Linked DNA regions of Coturnix japonica. The protein of the gene in region 3 interacts with the protein of the main gene of each other region in a pairwise test. Links are inferred from orthologs where the notes say so. Each region holds a gene or a part of one and is shown on either strand. Other genes may lie near its edges.

Region 1 (3,935 bases), on a different chromosome or scaffold from region 3:
AGAGTCTGTCTGGAATTGTGCTCGCCTTGAGGCCTTGCTGGCTAAAGCTGTGCTGCCTGATCTGATAACTTGTCAAGAGGAAGGAAGGGGGGTGATGGGCTCCTTACTGAGTGCAGGGTGAGGTTCCGAGCACCTCTGCTCTCCAGTGCCACCTATGGAGAGTGCAGCGACTCCAAGTGTAGGAACTTCTGCTATTGCACTTCTACACATTGGGTAGTACTGGAAATGCTGAGCGGTATATTGGGGAGATGGGTGTCACAGCGAGAAAAGCAGCTCACCTGGAAAAGTGGCATATATCTAAACCTCTGCTGTAGCAAAAACATGGCAATTCTGTCCAAGGACAGTGCTGGTGATGTCCCATCTGCTGCTTGATGTGAATGGAGACCTGAGCCATGCAGCACGCCTGGGGTGGAGCTGGTTCATGCAGCTGAGAGAGGAAGGATGTTGTCAGAGGCTTTCAGAAGGCTGCCACCTGTTTGCAGATATCAACATTTCTGGAATTAAACAGCAATTACTTCAGCTGGCCTCCGCCTCCATTCCTGTGGCTGCAAACAGCAACTAAATTCGTGCAGTTGGGTTTTAGTCGTGGGAGAGGAGGAGAGTGCAGCATCTGTGCAGCTCTGGTGCCTGCAGGATGGAGGAAATGCTGGCACACATTGTCTGATGGCGTTCAGAGCGAGTCACATACGTGTCTGCCAGCAGCAGGAACATGGGGAGCTCTGCAGAACCGCTTAGTGTAAGAAAGGGATGGCGTGCCTTGTTTCCAGGAACAACATATGTGGCTTTACAAAGACTGGTTCCTAGAAGGTGTCAGAAAGCAATTCACTGCAACTCATTAAAATGCTGAATTTCTGTTGGCCATGTTTTTAATTGCAGTCAAATGTTACCAGTTTCATTTGATGCAATGGTGGGTGGACAGAGCTGTGATTAAGCAGTTGCTCGAAATTTTGTTATGACTAAGTTTGGTTTGGAAGTATCTCAGAGTCTACGTCTTTATGTGCAAGGATTTATACTTCGCAAAACAAGTGCAGTTCTAAGTTCCTTATCACAGAAGTTGGTCAGCTTAGAGAAAAGCTGTAAGTACTCAGAGGTTGTGCTTCATTGCAAAGATAGGTATTGAAGTTCATTTTGAGGATTGGTAACTGTAATACCCGATTTGTGGGGCAGTGAGCCAGAAGGCAAGGGAAGCAGGAAGCCTGGAACGGAGCAGGCCTGAAACAGGGTTGTTGAACGTGTTTTTTCTTGTTCAAGTGGCTGCCTGATTGTGCTGCAGATACATGCTGCAGGCAGGCGCTTCTCAGCATGGAATGAAACCTGTCACCACCTCCCTGTGCTGTTCTATTAGCCAGAGCAGACTCACCGGTTTCAGAGCAGGGTGAGCAAAGAAACTTGAGCGCTGAGACAGGTTCCTGGGCCTCTGCTGAAAATGTGGAGTTCCATATGAATTTGTTATAAGCTTTTGTTGTCTGTAATGAACCCACTGGAAAGCGAAGCATCAGACCAGCCAGGTTCTGGAAGCACATGAGCACGTAGCTCTGAGCCTCAGGAAGTTTCCTAGGGAATGTGCTCCTTGCTGCTTCCAGTGTTTGAGGGTTTTCACGTTTGTCCTTGGTCGGTAGGACTGGCAGAGCCTGCTTTATAGCTCGCTGACAGCAGTCAGCAGCACACGGTGGCTGATGAAGCATCCCAAGGATGTGAGCAGCAGGTTGTCCTTGGGGGAATGTGGAGCTTTCCCTCCGCATAGTGGCTTGTTAGCAGTCAGCCCAGTGCCCCTGCAATGGGGACAGCACGGGATCTCCTCTGCTGGCAGCTGTTAAGCCAGCTTAGCTGCATGGCACGCAGCTCCCAGATTTCTCCCACAGAAGTTTTTGCGTGATAAATCTCTGTGCTGCTCTGTACATGAGTGTGTCAAGCGTGTTGCGACAGGAAAACATCTGCAGGTCGTAGTTTGCTCGAGCAGAGGAAAATTCTGGTGTTCAGTTCTGCCAGCTCGGTTCAGGAGGGTGTATGCTGGAAGAAAAAGAAGAAAATCAGATTGTTTCCTTAGAGCATGTGTGCAAAGCAGGGCAGGAAACTGCCACCGTGTGCTGTGATTAGTGGGACATTCTGCTCAGGAACAAAAGTGCAATTAATAGGCACGGAGGCTAAAAATCTGTGGCAATGCTGTGCACAGTGAAGCAACTCCTCTTTCATGGCTTGAATGTGTGTGGTGCTGTTGTCAGGGGTTGCCATGGCCCTCCTGGGTTAAGTGGCACTGAGCTGTTCCTGGGTTCAGCTATGGTAGAGGTACTTAACATCCCTCGAACTGTGAGTCACTAGGTAGGGCTGATGGGCTAACATTGAGTGTTAAGTGATTTTAAATAGCATTTTGAAGCTGATCTTAGGTGTATGAAGTAGCAGTCCAAGGTTCTCCAGAAAGAAAAGAAATGCTATGATTCAAATGTAAAACAGTTGCTAAAATTCAGATAGGAACGCCTCAGTTGTTTGCAGCAGGAGAGCTATGAGCCCATGACTAATGCTCATTTCTGAGAGTTGTCTTTGTCTTCTGCAAAAGCGAAAGGATTACAGTGTATTTTTAGCAGTAGCATTTGGTTTCTGGTAATATTTCCTTTGCTGTTAATACTAGCTGTGGTTTTAGACTAAAGCTTTCATGAGTTCCTTCAGTTTGTGATAGACTTGAATCAGGAGGCTTGAGAGTCCAAGCTGCTGCTAACAGCAAGGTTTGTCTGTATGTACAGCAAGATTAGGAAGTTCCTACTGGCTTGACTTAAGTGTGAGAAAGTGATTTGTGAGGCGGTGCCAGTCAACTTGTGCAGGAGTGTGTCTGAGAAGGGCAGTGGGGTGGGCTGTGGGGCGGTTTGGGTGCTGTCTTCATTGTTGGAATGCAGTTTATCTGTAAGGCAGCCAGTGAAGTGCTTGGTGAATGCATGCCGGGAGTCACTTTGCAGTAGCAATAATCATGGTGAGCACTGCCATTTGTATTGTTCTCACTTCAGCAAAAATAATGATATGCTGAGAAATGATGTGGTTTCAAGCTTTCTTCAAACTTATGTAAAATAAAACTAAGGGTAACAGAATGGATGTTTATATTAGCTGTGTTTCCACACTAGCAGTAACCTTAAGGCTACAGCCTCTTACTTGTTTTTGTGTGTAATATTTTCTACTGGCACTCTCAATTGTTCCTTAGGTGACTGGGTGTAATTAGTTTTCTTCCCTAAGAGGAATATTATTGCTTGCTATTTGAGATGAATGTTCTTTACATGTAAACTTTCTCTTTTTTGCAGTGCTGTAGGTAAAACATGCCTACTCATCAGTTACACAACCAATGCGTTTCCTGGGGAATATATACCCACAGTGTAAGTACTTACAACATTCTAAAAACATTCCTGTCAACCCACTGGTGCTTCCTGCTGGTCCAGCTTCCTCACTGAGCCTCCTGAATTGTGGGCACACACCACTCAGTGCCATCATAACATCTGGCCAAGCATCTGTGTGTGCTGCACAGAAGTGCAGTGTTATAGCTTTCCTAGTTATGACTCTGCAGGAAGAAATACTTAGGTGCCCAATTTGACTACAATCAAATGCAGCTAACTTTTATTTTTTAGCTTTGACAACTACTCTGCTAATGTAATGGTTGATGGCAAACCAGTCAATCTGGGCCTGTGGGATACAGCTGGTCAAGAGGACTATGACAGACTACGCCCACTCTCCTACCCCCAAACAGTAAGTACTGGTGTGGAACTGAAGAAGGTAGACAGCTCTAAGCTGTTCTGGAGATATTACATCTGGAGCTGTATTTCTTACTGTAATAAGGTACTTGTTGCATGTAGGCTGAAGGATGGTAGCTTGCTGTAGCAAGAATCTTTGATGTGCATACAGCTATATAGATGTTCAAATTTACACCCTTGGGTGTTTGCGAGCATTGATGCATGTTG
Region 2 (4,364 bases), on a different chromosome or scaffold from region 3:
TATAGTATCACATTTTAGAAGCTTGTTTTGAATGGTGCATTTAACGCAACTGGTAACTGCAAATCTACATTGCCTATGTGAGTAAACATTATAGACAGCTCTGGTAGACCTTATGGAATTCTGCACTACATTGACCTTTGCTTTCTTTGTTACCTTGGCCAAGGTATTTTACTATGCCTTAGTACTCAGTTGCGTTACGTCTTTCCTTCGAAGTGGATGTGGAAAGCTCACTGAGGACCATAGGAGGGGTGGACTGAGTCCGGGTTGATAGAAAATCTCTCTGAACATTGAGAGCTTTGAGCCGATGGCTGGATGTGACTTTGTTTTCCTGTTTCCTTTAATTTGACTCCTTTAGCCAGCGAAGTTGCGTTAGAGCTCAATGAAAAGCCTCTTTATTTTGCAGCGTTGTGGAATGGCTGCAGTGCAGAATCCCATAAGGCCGAGGCGTGCCATCAGTGTGGTCATTTAAATATATTTAAAACAATGCACAAATCTGCTGCTGCTTCGAACACTGCAGCTTCTAAACTCGATTTCCTTTGTTCGAACACTGCAGCTTCAAAACCCTTCGACTGATTTCAACTTACAAAGACAGACAATTGTGCCTGAAGTGAACCCGTATATTTTGTTCTTTGCAGCCGGCACCCCTTGTACTGTACGAGAATCAACCCTTAGGCTTTCATAGCTGTATTGAAACTCATCAAGGTGAAATAGTCGATGTCTGTGTGCTTCCCCCCCCGACCCCGGTCACACTTTATCAAGAGAACGGAACGATCTGAGCGTTAGAGCCCAACGATCAGCAGTTCCTCCCTGGGATAGAGGCCGTACTGTGGTTCATTTCCTTTCGTTCCATGTTACCTCTATTCTCAATGTAGGGTTTTTTCTCTCTGGGAGATGCGTTTATCTTTGTAAAACAAACAAAAAAAAAAAAACATTTGCTTTTCTCCAAGTTGGTTTTTTTTTTTTTTTTTTGTTTTTTTTTTTTTTTTTTTTTTTTGGTTTTCTGTTAATGGCAAAGAATGGAAATAGAATAAAGTTTTACTGATTTTGAACAACGCTTTTCTCCTCCCCGTGTCTCTGTTGTTGGGCGTCGCCTCCACACAACCACAACCACCATCATAACAACCATTACAGCCGCCATCTTAGCCGCCATCTTTACCCCCCCATCCTGGTCAGCTGCTGGAGGTCACGTGCCCGAGAGCATCGGATGCACTTCCGGCGCTGTTTGATGACGACACACCGGGACCGGAAGCCGGAAGCTTTGCAGCAGGGTGTTCCGCGTTCGCGGTGCGGGATCCCTCAGTCGTGGTGGTGGCGGGGCCGGGAGCGGCCGGAGCGGGGCGGCTCCGCGTTGAGCTGCCGGGAGGGCGATGACCGAGTACAAACTGGTGGTGGTGGGAGCCGGCGGCGTCGGGAAGAGCGCGCTGACCATCCAGCTCATCCAGAACCACTTCGTGGACGAGTACGACCCCACCATTGAGGTGAGAGCGGGGGGACGGGGTGGGAACGGGCCGGGAGGGGAGAGATGGGAGAGAATGGGGGGGTAGGGTGGGAGAATAGAGCGGAGACTGGGGGGATAGGATGGGAATGGAATGGGGATAGGATGGGAATAGGATGGGGATAGGACAAGAATAGAGTGGGAATAGAATGGGAATAGGATGGGAATAGGATGGGGATAGTATGGGGATAGAATGGGGATAGAATGGGGATAGAATGGGGATAGAATGGGGATAGAATGGGGATAGAATGGGAATAGGACGGGAATAGAGTGGGTATAGGACAGGAATAGAGTGGGAATTGAATGGGAATAGGACAGTAATAAAACTGCTGTGTGGGGTTACAGATATAACAAGGTACGGCTGTGAGGGGTTACAGCCCTCCAGGCATGGAGAGGTGCAGGAAGGAGCAGCATCTTGTCTCTATCGGATTAATTCCCTTGTGTTCGGGATTAATTCCCTTGTGTTTGGGATTAATTCCCTTGTGTTTGGGATTAATTCCCTTGTGTTCTGTGCAGGATTCGTACAGGAAGCAGGTTGTCATCGATGGGGAGACGTGTTTGCTGGACATCCTGGACACTGCGGGGCAGGAGGAGTACAGCGCTATGAGGGATCAGTACATGAGGACGGGGGAGGGATTCCTGTGTGTGTTCGCCATTAACAACAGCAAATCGTTCGCTGATATCAACCTGTACAGGTACGGGCTGAGTCTTTGCTGTGAGGAGGAAAGGCTGGAAATGGCGTCATTTTAGTGTGAGGCTTTGGGTTAAAACAGCTTTTATTTGAGGAAAATAACCCGTGTTTTTTAACTTTTAAGAGAGCAAATCAAGAGAGTGAAGGACTCGGACGATGTGCCCATGGTGCTGGTTGGGAATAAGTGTGATCTGCCCACGAGGACGGTAGACACAAAACAAGCCCAAGAGTTGGCAAAGAGCTACGGCATCCCCTTCATAGAGACATCAGCTAAAACGAGACAGGTAGGGTGCTTCTGTCCGTTGTATGTTAAACAAGGAACGGTTTAGCTCTTTCCTGTTGTCTTCTTCATTGTTAGAATCACAGAATTGTAGGGGTTGGAAGGGACTCCTAGAGACCATCAAGTCCAACCCCCCCTTAAATGGAAGAGTAAATGCTTCTAAGGCAGTTTGAGATCTGTAGCTTTTGATTGAATACACCACGGGATCCTGGTGGCCTCGTGAGATTTGGGATTAAAGGGGTTTCATGTGAATCTTTGCCTCTGCAGGGTGTGGAGGATGCGTTTTACACACTGGTGAGGGAGATCCGGCAGTACCGGATGAAAAAGCTCAACAGCAACGAAGATGGGAATCAAGGCTGTATGGGGTTGTCCTGCATTGTGATGTGATAAGGTGAGCTCTGCTTTTTTCCTTGTCTGTGAGCCTTCCAGCTGTTGATAAGCACAGTAAAGATCAGTATAGAAGCTAATTAGAGGCACCTTTCTATTCCAGATGCCAGGTTCAGATGTAGCTGCTGGACAAGTCTCGATGCTACTGTATTGTGTCTCATGCTGATGCCCTGCAGTATTTTGGTGCCAGCGACCAGACTCTTGGTACCAGTTAATTAGCACAGGATCCTTTTCTGTGCTCCATCTGAAGGCAACATCTCTGGTATCTACCTCCTTGCTCAGCTCACAGAGCGCTCATATCTCTTGGTGTACTGGGATTCTTTTCTAGCTGTGTCGTCTGGGTTTGTTCAAGAAGAAAACCAGTCACAAGAACAGTGAATTACAGAGACTAAATGCTGTGAAAAAGATCATTTTACCTCCAGAGTAAAAGCTCCAAGTGGCGTTTGACCCCTTTGCATTGGATTCAGATTTGCGGTGTGGTCAGAGGAGCAGCAGAAGTCATTTTGCCATTATAAAGGTTTGTCACCAATCGGATCTGCTGTCTGCACATCCACACGGTGTATCTGCAGCATCTCATTGTGCCAGGAGGATCATTGAACCGAGCAACCGATCCTTGGTTTTTCTGTAATAAAAGGAGAAATCTTCGCTATCTTAAGTGCCTGTTTGCTCCAAAGGTTGAAGGCTGGACGCTGCTCCCTTGGGCTGAGGAGAACCCCAAGGATGAATCTCCTGGGTGCTCGTTGTCTCCGCAGGCAGGTTGTGTGTGGGTGATCTTTACTCATGGCAGGACACTCAGATGGAATTTGCAGCCTGGCAGATGGATCAAATGTTTGTGAGACTCTTGAATTAGGGAGGCCACACCTGTTCTTAGTCCATCAGAATGGATCCCTGCACCTCTTTGTGTGTGGATCTGGGTATGTTCTGAACTGCTTTTCTACAGCATTTGGATCTCTTTCCGGTTGGACCAAATTAACGAGCCGTTCATTTTAACGTAACTGCCGATATTTACAGACCATTTCTTATGGACAGATACTGAATTGAGAAACTGGAGGTTCCTTTGGGCAGCTGCTCCTCAGCTCTGTCTGTAACTTGCAAATTACTCTGAGTTATTTTCTCCAGAGCCTCCTTCCTTATCACGGGAGGGGTCTGGGAGTTGAGCTTGACTGTAATTGGGTCAATGGTTGTGACAGATTTAAGGTGTCCAGGCGGAGTGGAGGAGGCGCTGAGCCCTGACAGAGCACTGAGCTGATTTCTGATTGCAGCATCCCTGCAAAATGAGGAAGGGAGTTCAGTGGTGTCTGCACTGAAGATGCGCAACGCTCTGATGGCAGTTCTGGGTTTGCTGTAACAGCCTCCAGGTAGGACCCAAGTGCTGTGTGAGCTGGGTGATTTCCTCCCACATCGCAGCACTGTCACCCCATGGGGTTGGGTGACACCAGCAGCCACCAGCTCCCTGAGCACCGCGGCCTTCTCAGTTCTTGTGCCTGCAGTGCTGGGTTCTGTTCTGTGCT
Region 3 (4,487 bases):
GTTTTGTCTTTGGAAAACACTAATACATCTCACACTGGCTTAAATTGCTGCTGGGTAGAACTAATATGCTAGTGTTATACAAAGTCCCACTGTTCTTGCAAAACCTTTAGAGTAATTAAAAATTATCTTTTTGTGCAATAACTGTATCACTTTTACAAGTGATCTATGAAGTTGACTTGCATCTCTTGAAAGAAAACTAGCAGAATTCTTTTCAAGGAGGACTTTTTCATTCCTCTCCTATGTAAGGCTATTGATTACTCACAAAAACCACACAGGCTTATTCCCATCTACCCAAAAGTGGTACTGCACACAGCCACGCCTGAACATTCACTCCCTTCTGACACCTTTACTGAGGGAGCTAATATCATGAACACAGGTAGTGGCTTCTGACATTCTGATCTGGAGCTCACAGCCACCAGGCTGGCCACAAAGCTTGACAATTGTGGTACTTCTGTGTGGAAACTAGGAGAGAAAATACAGTGCCCTGGGAGGAGAGGGGCAACATAAGCCTTTGTTCTGACAGCTGTAACTAAATGCACAACAGCCATTTACATTATAGCCTGTGTATCTCCTGCATCTCGTCACTATGATATTAGTGTTAGGTATTGCAAGAAGTTCCCTGACCTCCTTGTGAAACTGGCAGGTTGCTTTCATTGCCCAGTTAAGCACACAGGTACATGTTAAACTTCATTAGAACAGAGGCCCCCTTCCATTTCTTGCTAACACAACTGGTGCTTGGAAACACTTCTACTGATCATAACATCTATATTTCAGCCTGCAACTGATACATACCATAAAAATAATTTTGTGTGTAATCTGTATTTCTGTTCGGTATATAAGCTCTCACGAATGATGTTTCTACACCTTTTGGGCCAGTGCATAAGTGTTGAGTGGTCAATGCATAATACTGATATATCGTATGGATTCTCATTTGTAGAATGACTACTGCCTGAAAACAGTAAAACCTGCCTGGCCACAAGAAGTTCATGACAGAACATGCTGGTTGTGGTTTTGGAGGTTAAAAGATGAAAACTGACCAGAGAAAGGGGCTGTTCAGCAGGAAACTGAGGCACAGTCAGCAACTGAAAAGTAAAAACCTATAATTGTTCTTGTAAGAATAGAAGCACAGCACACGTAAGCCTCAAGTACTCAGTATTTTGCTACCAGGAGCACTTCAGCAGCTTGTTTCACAAAGCCAAGAGATGAATGGTGTTGAAACTGCACCATTCCATGTATGTGACTTCAAAAACTACATAAGCACAAGCAAAAAAAGTGACAATTTTGGGAAGAACTGATATTAATGAGAGGAAGCCACAGTCCTCTAGGAGGAAATGACTGCCACGAGAGGAATACACACTTGGGGCTGAAGTGGCAACAGAGAGATTTCTACACAGCAAAGATAATGCAGATCTATATATACACAAATATTTTTAGTGGCAGAAATCTTATGACTGGAATTAAAATATACTTACTTGGTTTTCCATTTTATATCACCAGTATACAGATCAGCTAATACTAAGCCTGCCTTTTCGAACACAGAATAAAGCATACATTTAACTGCAAGGCATTACTGCATTCTTGCTACAAACGCCTGTTTGTTGACCATGATTTATGGGATGTAGTGCAAGCCATAGGAAGAACAAATTAAATACTGCAAATATTCATCCTGACTTTAATTCTAGGGATTTGCAGCTGTAATGCGACGCAGTACCCAAAAGAATGCTATAAGCAGAATGGGGGAAGTTATTGCATTGATTGTATGAGCTTGAACATAGATCTTCAGCAGCAGAAGGCACAGTTAGCTGCTAGCCAAGGTGAAACTGATTTCAGTCTTTGGAGCAACAAGAGCTGCTGCAGAGGCTGTAGTTTGCTTGGATTCTTAAAAGCAAAGGAGTCAGGTTCCAGAATGCACAGGAGTGGGGAAACAAAGGTTTCCCCTGTATTTTCACAAGCAACCTCTGGTCAGTTATGGGCAGGCGATGACAGATTCTAGAGAAAAATTCAGTCTCCCTGAGAACATTTGAACGACTCTTACTTATAGAGCAGGCTGGAGCAGATCCTCAAGCTGTTTTCAAACTTGTCTGCAGCTGAGATGTAGTCTCATCTGAAACAGAGCACTGCACTGATTCTGTATCAGCTTTTCTGAGGAGGTTTTAGCGAACTCTGTGAAGGTTTTTTGGGAGCCAAAATAGTTGGTCACATCTGTATTCTGACCAGAACACTCAGATTAGCAGCCAGAATTTGTGAACAGAGACAGGAAATATATTCTTACTAAATCCTTGTGTCTCGATGCAAAAAAAAAGAGGCCTTTGCTACACTGTTAGAGTTGTTCCTTATTCTGAGCAAGCCTGACAGCTCTCCTTCACACCTGACCACAGCAGCTTCCATCTGCCAAGGTTCTCCAGAAGTTCTCCATCTCTTTAAAGGAAGCAAACAAGTATCTATCCCATTCCATGGCCACGAAAACTGAGGCACTGCAAGCGCTTCTTCCCATGGAAACTTCTAGTTGAAAGGGAAAGATGTGCGTGATCTGCAAAAAGAAACTAAACAGTGCAGCACCTGAGGCTGCAGGAAGTGCTGATGTCAAAGCCCTGAGCCAAAGTCAGGCACAGCCAGCACCCTGCCCTGCCTGCAAAGCACACACGGCTCCTAGCCCCGGGCATCCACGACCCAGAGCGCAGTGAAACGCGGACCGGCAGGGCCATCCCTGCCTCAGCGTCCACACTGCAGCCAGCTGTGCGGGGAAACTGACGGTGGCTGCTGGGCGCCGTACTGTGTAAAGAGGAGGAGGGGAGGGGAAGCGAGGAGAAACCCAACGAGCGCTCTGTAAAGGCAATGGAACGCTGCGCTCCCTGGGTTCACGCGGGGTTCGCTGGAAGCTCCATCCAAGTGGCGATCGGTGCGAAACTACTTAATTTACAACATTAAGAAACGGGGGGGGAAAAAAACCAACCTACAAACACAAAAAGGCAGAAGTAACATGGCTGCATTCAGAGGCACAAGTAACGCTCTGCCTCACAGCCGGAGCAACACGAAGATCCTCACGTCTTTCTCCAACAGCGGACAAGGACCGCGGCGCAACCTTCCCAGCGCGCTACCCCGACGGCCTCCGTCACGCCAGCAGCGGTCGGCGAGGTCCCGGGGCCGCCTTACGTAACTCCGTGCCCCGAGCCGCCCTCTCCCCTCGCCCTCCGCGTGCGGATCGGGGCGGCCCGGCCTGCGCGGATCGGGGCGCAGCGCAAACTTTGCGCCGCGGGGGCCGCGCGTTCCGAGCCCCGCAGCCGGCGGGGAAGTTGCACCGAGCTCGGGCGGCGGCCTCTGGGGGCAGAGGGGCGGCAGCGAGGGCTGCGCAGCGGGGACTCACCCATGGTGGCGCCGCGGCCTCCTCCTCCTTCCCCTCCTCCCGGAGCCGCCGCCTCTCGGGGAGGCTCGGGAGAGCCGTGCGCGGAACGGAGCGGGGAGAGCGCGGCAGCGGCGCGGTGGCTGCGTGCGGCGCGGCTATGAGTCAGGGTAGCACATCCGGGCAAGGCCGCCTGGGAGACACCCCGCCCGCCCGGCGGCACCCTGCCGTGCCGCTGCCGCCGCCGGGGAGGGGCGGGCGGGCACGGAGGAGGCGGTGCGGGACCGGCCCGGCCGCGGGAGGGGCGGAGAAGGAGGGAACCGAGGGCGGTGCCGGCGGGGGTTGCGGCGGTCCCGCGCCGCCTTTGTTAGCGGGGCTTAGGGGTGGTGGCTTGGAGGATGGGGGGCTGTCGGCGAGCTCCTCGGGCTCTGTCTGGCGGCCCTTTGTCCGAAGGGAGGGCTGAGTCAGGGGGCGAGCGGTGTGAGATGGACCCTGTGAGCACAGATCGGCGGAAGAAGGGAGGGAGCTGCCGGGCAAAGAGCGGTTGCCTTAAGCCGTACGTTTTGTTGTAGCGATGCTGGAAACCGTGCGGCCGAAAGCGAAAGGCTTCTGCCCCGGTAGTTGTGTGCGGAGGACATTTTTAACAAGAAAATGAATCTCTGCATTCCCCCTTCCTCTGTGCCCTGGGATGTTCACTCTTTGTAACGCAGCAAGCAATCGGGAACGCTTACTTTTACAGTCTTAGCTTTCATTGGGAGCCTTTGTGTTAACAATGCGTTAACGCCCTGAGCGTCTTCGCTTTCTTCAAATCTTTCCTTATTCACAGTTTAACTCGAGTAAATGCCACGGTGCGGTTAGGCAGAGTAGGACGAAAGAGTCATAGAGTCTTGTTGCTCCATAGACATGGGCAGCGGACACAGCAAGGATGAGCGAGGGGATAAAAGGAGCTGCAGCTGAGTCAGCCTCGGTTTGCACGAGTGGCAGTCGGCAGCTTCCGGGGGGTCCTCGCTGGAAAAGGGCTCGGGAGCTGTTCTGCATAAGGGGCAGTGGGGCATGACAAGCAAAGAATCATTTGCTGTCCCTTCTGTGCAGCACAAGAGGGATGCTCTGAGGTTTGTCCATTTATACTGCTGTAGCCGTGCGATTC
Region 4 (4,601 bases), on a different chromosome or scaffold from region 3:
GCTCTTAGCTGTATTTGTGCATTTTTCCCTATGCTCATTTTCACACATGGTCTCATCTTTCTTATCTCTTAAATCACTTTGGATTATTGCTGTTTCTGTTCATGTTTGCATAATGTATCATAATCTGTGAAATTTCAAATGGTAACAAATTTATTCAGCTAGCAGCTGCAACATGGATTGAGGCTTTTTGAGAGACTGAAAGTGGGAAGAAATTCTGTGGTCTCTTTACCAGTAGGAAACAGCACGTTTTCTCTGAGAGAAGACATAATGGTTCACATGATCTGAATCCAGCCAAGTGTGATGTAGCTCAGTTTGGGTAACATATCTCTTGTAAAGCACATATTTCCATGAAATATATTTTTTAAATCATTAGCTCTTAAGTCAGTAATTTGCCTCTGGAATTGAGCAGACATTCCCTTTTGGTTGAAGCTCCAGAACCTGCTCATGATCCTATAGCAGTTCAGACATGCTACCATTTTCAAAGGGTTAAGTCAGCCATGGCAGCTAAAACCTGCTGCTGTGCTGCTGGAATTGCTGCTGGAACTTGGAATGAAAGACCAACAACCAACCAACCATCCAAACAACAACGACAACAACAAAAACCAAGTGTGATGGGACTGAAAATGAAACAATACCAAAGATTTCAGTGCTTTCCCAGCATCTCAGAAGGCTTAATACCTCAAGAAATGGAAAACATAAGTCTGGTTGATAAGTGGGTATCCTCTGCCCATCTTGTCTGATTGTGACTTGCAGAATTGGATTTGCTTCTACCCTCAGTATTCTGTTGTTGTTTACTAAATGATCTCCCTTTGGACATGAAAAATGCATGATAGGGAAAAAAGCTAAAATGTCGAGATTGGTCTGTCCTGCAGAGCTATGTGGTCTCCCTTTATACCAGAGATGGAGAATTGGCTCATAAGCCTAGGAATACCCTTTTCAAGAGACAGGAAGTATGAAATGAATCAAGAGAAATGATTGTAAAGGAAATCTGGGGGAGGAAACAGGAAAATGGTAAAAGACAGAAATTAAGTGACAAAAAGAAACACCAGGTAGAAAACTTTCATCAGCACTGCTGCTGTCCTAAGAAAGAAGGTGAGCAGATTGCAGAGGAGGAAGTAGTCTTGCCCTACAAATATAGTGTGACAAACTTGTTCCTCATTGTATGGCGACAGAGCTACCCTGCTGCAACTTGAGGAGTCAAGGCTTTGAAGATAAACTCATGAGTGTACAAAAGTTAGTAATAAGCAGAAAAGTAAGGCTGAAAAAGAAGTACAATCATTTGGTATGCTTAGTATGCTTAGAATTAACACACGTCCCTCTTTCCATGAATGCACTCAGTCAAGGCACTACCACTGTGGACGCAGCTGAAGGATAGAAAGGGACAGGAGGCAAAGAGAAGGGCAAGGTGATGAGTTGTGCTGGGAGTCCTGGGGCCTTTAGGTGCTGGGCAGCAGTCGGACGCTGCCAACACCGTACACCCGGAGAGCCGCCATCACGGCCGCAACATTGGCTGCTGCTCCTGTCCATCATCGTTCGTCATCGCTGAGCGACGCGGGGCATGTCGCTGCCGGCTGCGGCCCGTGCTGCTGTCATGGCGGCGGCGCCCGGCCTGACGGAGCTCGGCGAGCGCTCTCCGGAGGCTGGAGCCAAGCTGGTGGCCTCGGAGGTGGCGAGTAGCGCCCTGCGCTCCCTGGCCGGGCTGGCGGGGCAGGTGAGTACAGGGTGGGAGGAAGGGAGGACCGGGGCCGGGTCAGCCGTGGACCCGCTCCTGCTGTACTCGCCTTTTTGGGCGGGCATCTCTGCTTCTCTGTCCGTGGGACTCTTCGGGGATGGGTTTAAAGTATAGGGAGAAAATTCTGCAGTAAGTAAGGGAGGCTGTCATGTCTGCAGGTGACAACGGGAACGGTGGGGTTGCGTGCGTGGTACTGTAGGCTGCTTGGGGTTTTAGTGTTGATGAATTATGTAGCAGATAGCGCGGCAGTGGTGGGAGGCTCTTATCGAGAGAAGCTGCCAGTAACAACTTAATAATTGCCATCAATAATTTACAAGTGAACTCATCTTCCTTCATGGAAGCACAGATGTCTTTCTGTGGAGGCAATAGAAGTGCAGTCGTGCTTTTGCAGTTAGATGGCAGTTTGAAGGTCTGGCGTCAGGTGGTGAGCTTGTGTCTTGGGGAGGTAATAGAGTTGATATTAGAGCTGCTGCATGCCCTCAGGAGGATTGCAGTAATTATGGAACAGAATAAAGGTTTTGGAAACACTGATATTTGGAGTGTGTTCTTTGTGTGACAACTTAAAGCCCTTTCACTGCATGCTGTGCTGAACGATGGGTGGGTAGGGGTTTGGTTACCTGTCTTAGCTGTTGTGACTCTTCAGATTACTCACTCAAAGTCATTTCCAGCTGTCCAGTTACATTCTTACCTGCCAGCATTTGAGTTCTGGTAGACTAGTGATGTTTTAGCAGCTTATCCTCTTCAGATATCCATCTTGCACTTCTGACTGATGCTTCTGGTCCCTTTCTCCCCTGTATTGAGATGGTAGAACGTTTGCCAGGTCTTCGTCTATCACAGTTTGCAATCTGTCATAGCAACTTAAGCAAGATTTATGCCATCAAGTTGCACTGGAAACAGGAAAAATAAATGTGTGTATATATGTATATATAATATATACACAATGTATGTATATATGAGCAATATATATTGAGCAATGACTTGCAGTGCAGTGATTAGAAGGACATCTGAAGATAACAACTCTTGAAACCAATATGGCAGATCCTGAAAAGTTACTTTAATCCCAAGGGATAATTTGTGAAGTTTATAAAACAATTTCAAAGATCAGGAATAACTTTGATGTAAAATAGTGAGAAAAATAAGTGTGCAGTGTTTGAAATGTGTTTGGTTGCAGGAGGAGTTTGTCCTTTACTTAACAGTGTGTGTGAGTTTATCCCCTGCCTCTAGATTCTAAGTCAGAAGGAATTGTTTTTCACATTGCACCATACGACTGTAGGATACAAGAAGGGGGCTTACTAGGCCATTACAGCAGGACATGTATTTTGTCTGTTACGGCAGTGTACCTCTGTAGCTGTTTATCCTATCAGCGCTCTGTAATGTAGCATGTATTACTCTCAAAACTTTGGGAGGAAATACTTGCTTCGGATAGTGCCCTTTAGATGATCGCCCAGTCACAGATGTTTGACTTGTAAAGTGAGGTTTTATTATACCAAATTCTTAATACATTCTTATGTTTCTGAGGTTTCATAACAATTATTTACTAAAACATTATTTTCCTTGCCTCTTATGTAGATTAAGTACTAACTAAGAATAATGTTTGTGAAAATTATCTAAAATACATTACATATCCAACTAGATAAAAACCATGATTCAGTTGTTATTTTGTAGTGCATTGGAAAACAATGCAAATCTATCCACTGTTCCCCTAGGTACTTATTTTTTTGTCTCTAAAGGCCAGTAGATCTTCCATCTCTTTTGCTATGTAACTGATTTGTAATCTAACACTGGATTTATCAAGGCTGATCTTTGACTAAAGAACGAGGGATCACGCTTGTCCTTCTTTATGTATGATGTTGCAGTATTGCTTGGTTCGAAAACTGATGTAGAGCAATTTCAGGTTCTGCTGCTTTGCCTTCAGTGTAATGGAAACATTCTTGATTTTATTTGTTTCATAATATGTTGTGCTATGAAACAAGTACATATGCATTCCGCGTTCATAATATTTGGTGCTGTTGCAAGATAGTGATTTTTAGACTATGTGTTCAAGGTCAATCTTATCACGGATGTGATACTTTTATTTATTTATTTATTTATTTTAATATGGCAGGAATGAGATGTAGATGTACAGATTTGCTTGTGACTTGGGATTCTGCATCCAAAACAGAGCACTTGTATATCCTGTTGATTTAAAACCGTTGTTTTATCTGTATTTATGATTTGGGAGATTGCTTAGGGGATATTTGGTTGGAAAACAACCTGTTTGGTGTGTGAAAATGGAAGTGTTTCTCCTTTACAACATCTTATCAGGAAAGCTTTAGTGTAATGAATGTGTCATAGAGCTGTGTGGAAGTACGTAATTAATTAGCGATTATTAACAATCAGTTCTGTATCAAAAAATTAAACTGAATTTTTAGTTTATAGAAGGTACATAATTCCTATAAATATAATTTCAGGTCTCCTGTGCGTGTTTCTCTTTGTTGTTTTGGGAGTTAAGTGCTGCCATTTCTCAGCAAAGACAACAGGATGTGGCAATTGCCATTTGTTCTGAATGCTCATGAAAGGAAACAGGGATTATGAAGTGGGTTTGACAGTGATGCTGTGTGGTTCAGAGTTTGTTTAACTGGAAGATTTTGAGAAGGATTTAACAGTATTATTTTTGATATAAAGCTTGCTTTGGATTAACAGGTACAAATGGCACAGTATTGAGACCCTGGTCATCATACAGGCTAATACAGCCTTGCACGTTTAATTCACACACATGTACAGGAGAATGCCATTCTGGGTGGGTGTTTCTTCCTGCTGCTGGTTCTATTATCTGTTAAAGAAAATATTTGAGTGATTAACATAAGCTGTATGCTCAAGCACAGTGGTT

Evidence for each region.
Region 1: the proteins of RAP1GDS1 (region 3) and RAC1 interact in binary tests that used the Homo sapiens proteins (3 or more experiments, as listed by UniProt). The link is inferred for Coturnix japonica from reciprocal best matches to the Homo sapiens genes RAP1GDS1 and RAC1.
Region 2: the proteins of RAP1GDS1 (region 3) and NRAS interact in binary tests that used the Homo sapiens proteins (3 or more experiments, as listed by UniProt). The link is inferred for Coturnix japonica from reciprocal best matches to the Homo sapiens genes RAP1GDS1 and NRAS.
Region 4: the proteins of RAP1GDS1 (region 3) and MBIP interact in binary tests that used the Homo sapiens proteins (3 or more experiments, as listed by UniProt). The two-hybrid records come from large-scale screens. The link is inferred for Coturnix japonica from reciprocal best matches to the Homo sapiens genes RAP1GDS1 and MBIP.

Annotation. Positions count from the first base shown.
Region 1 is NC_029529.1:8,459,600-8,463,534, reverse strand, and holds part of RAC1 (ras-related C3 botulinum toxin substrate 1), read left to right. Parts: intron 1-3,284; coding exon 3,285-3,356; intron 3,357-3,605; coding exon 3,606-3,723; intron 3,724-3,935. UniProt on the Homo sapiens protein: Plasma membrane-associated small GTPase which cycles between active GTP-bound and inactive GDP-bound states.
Region 2 is NC_029541.1:3,904,671-3,909,034, reverse strand, and holds the start of NRAS (GTPase NRas), read left to right. Parts: upstream 1-1,225; 5' UTR 1,226-1,367; coding exon 1,368-1,478; intron 1,479-2,011; coding exon 2,012-2,190; intron 2,191-2,310; coding exon 2,311-2,470; intron 2,471-2,733; coding exon 2,734-2,853; 3' UTR 2,854-2,857; intron 2,858-2,956; 3' UTR 2,957-4,364. UniProt on the Homo sapiens protein: Ras proteins bind GDP/GTP and possess intrinsic GTPase activity.
Region 3 is NC_029519.1:53,686,393-53,690,879, reverse strand, and holds the start of RAP1GDS1 (rap1 GTPase-GDP dissociation stimulator 1), read right to left. Parts: upstream 3,006-4,487; 5' UTR 2,991-3,005; coding exon 2,954-2,990; intron 1-2,953. UniProt on the Homo sapiens protein: Acts as a GEF (guanine nucleotide exchange factor) for the Rho family of small GTP-binding proteins (G proteins) that stimulates the dissociation of GDP to enable subsequent binding of GTP.
Region 4 is NC_029520.1:33,103,222-33,107,822, reverse strand, and holds the start of MBIP (MAP3K12-binding inhibitory protein 1), read left to right. Parts: upstream 1-1,537; 5' UTR 1,538-1,558; coding exon 1,559-1,711; intron 1,712-4,414; exon of another isoform or gene 4,415-4,487; coding exon of another isoform or gene 4,488-4,511; intron 4,512-4,601. UniProt on the Homo sapiens protein: Inhibits the MAP3K12 activity to induce the activation of the JNK/SAPK pathway. Component of the ATAC complex, a complex with histone acetyltransferase activity on histones H3 and H4.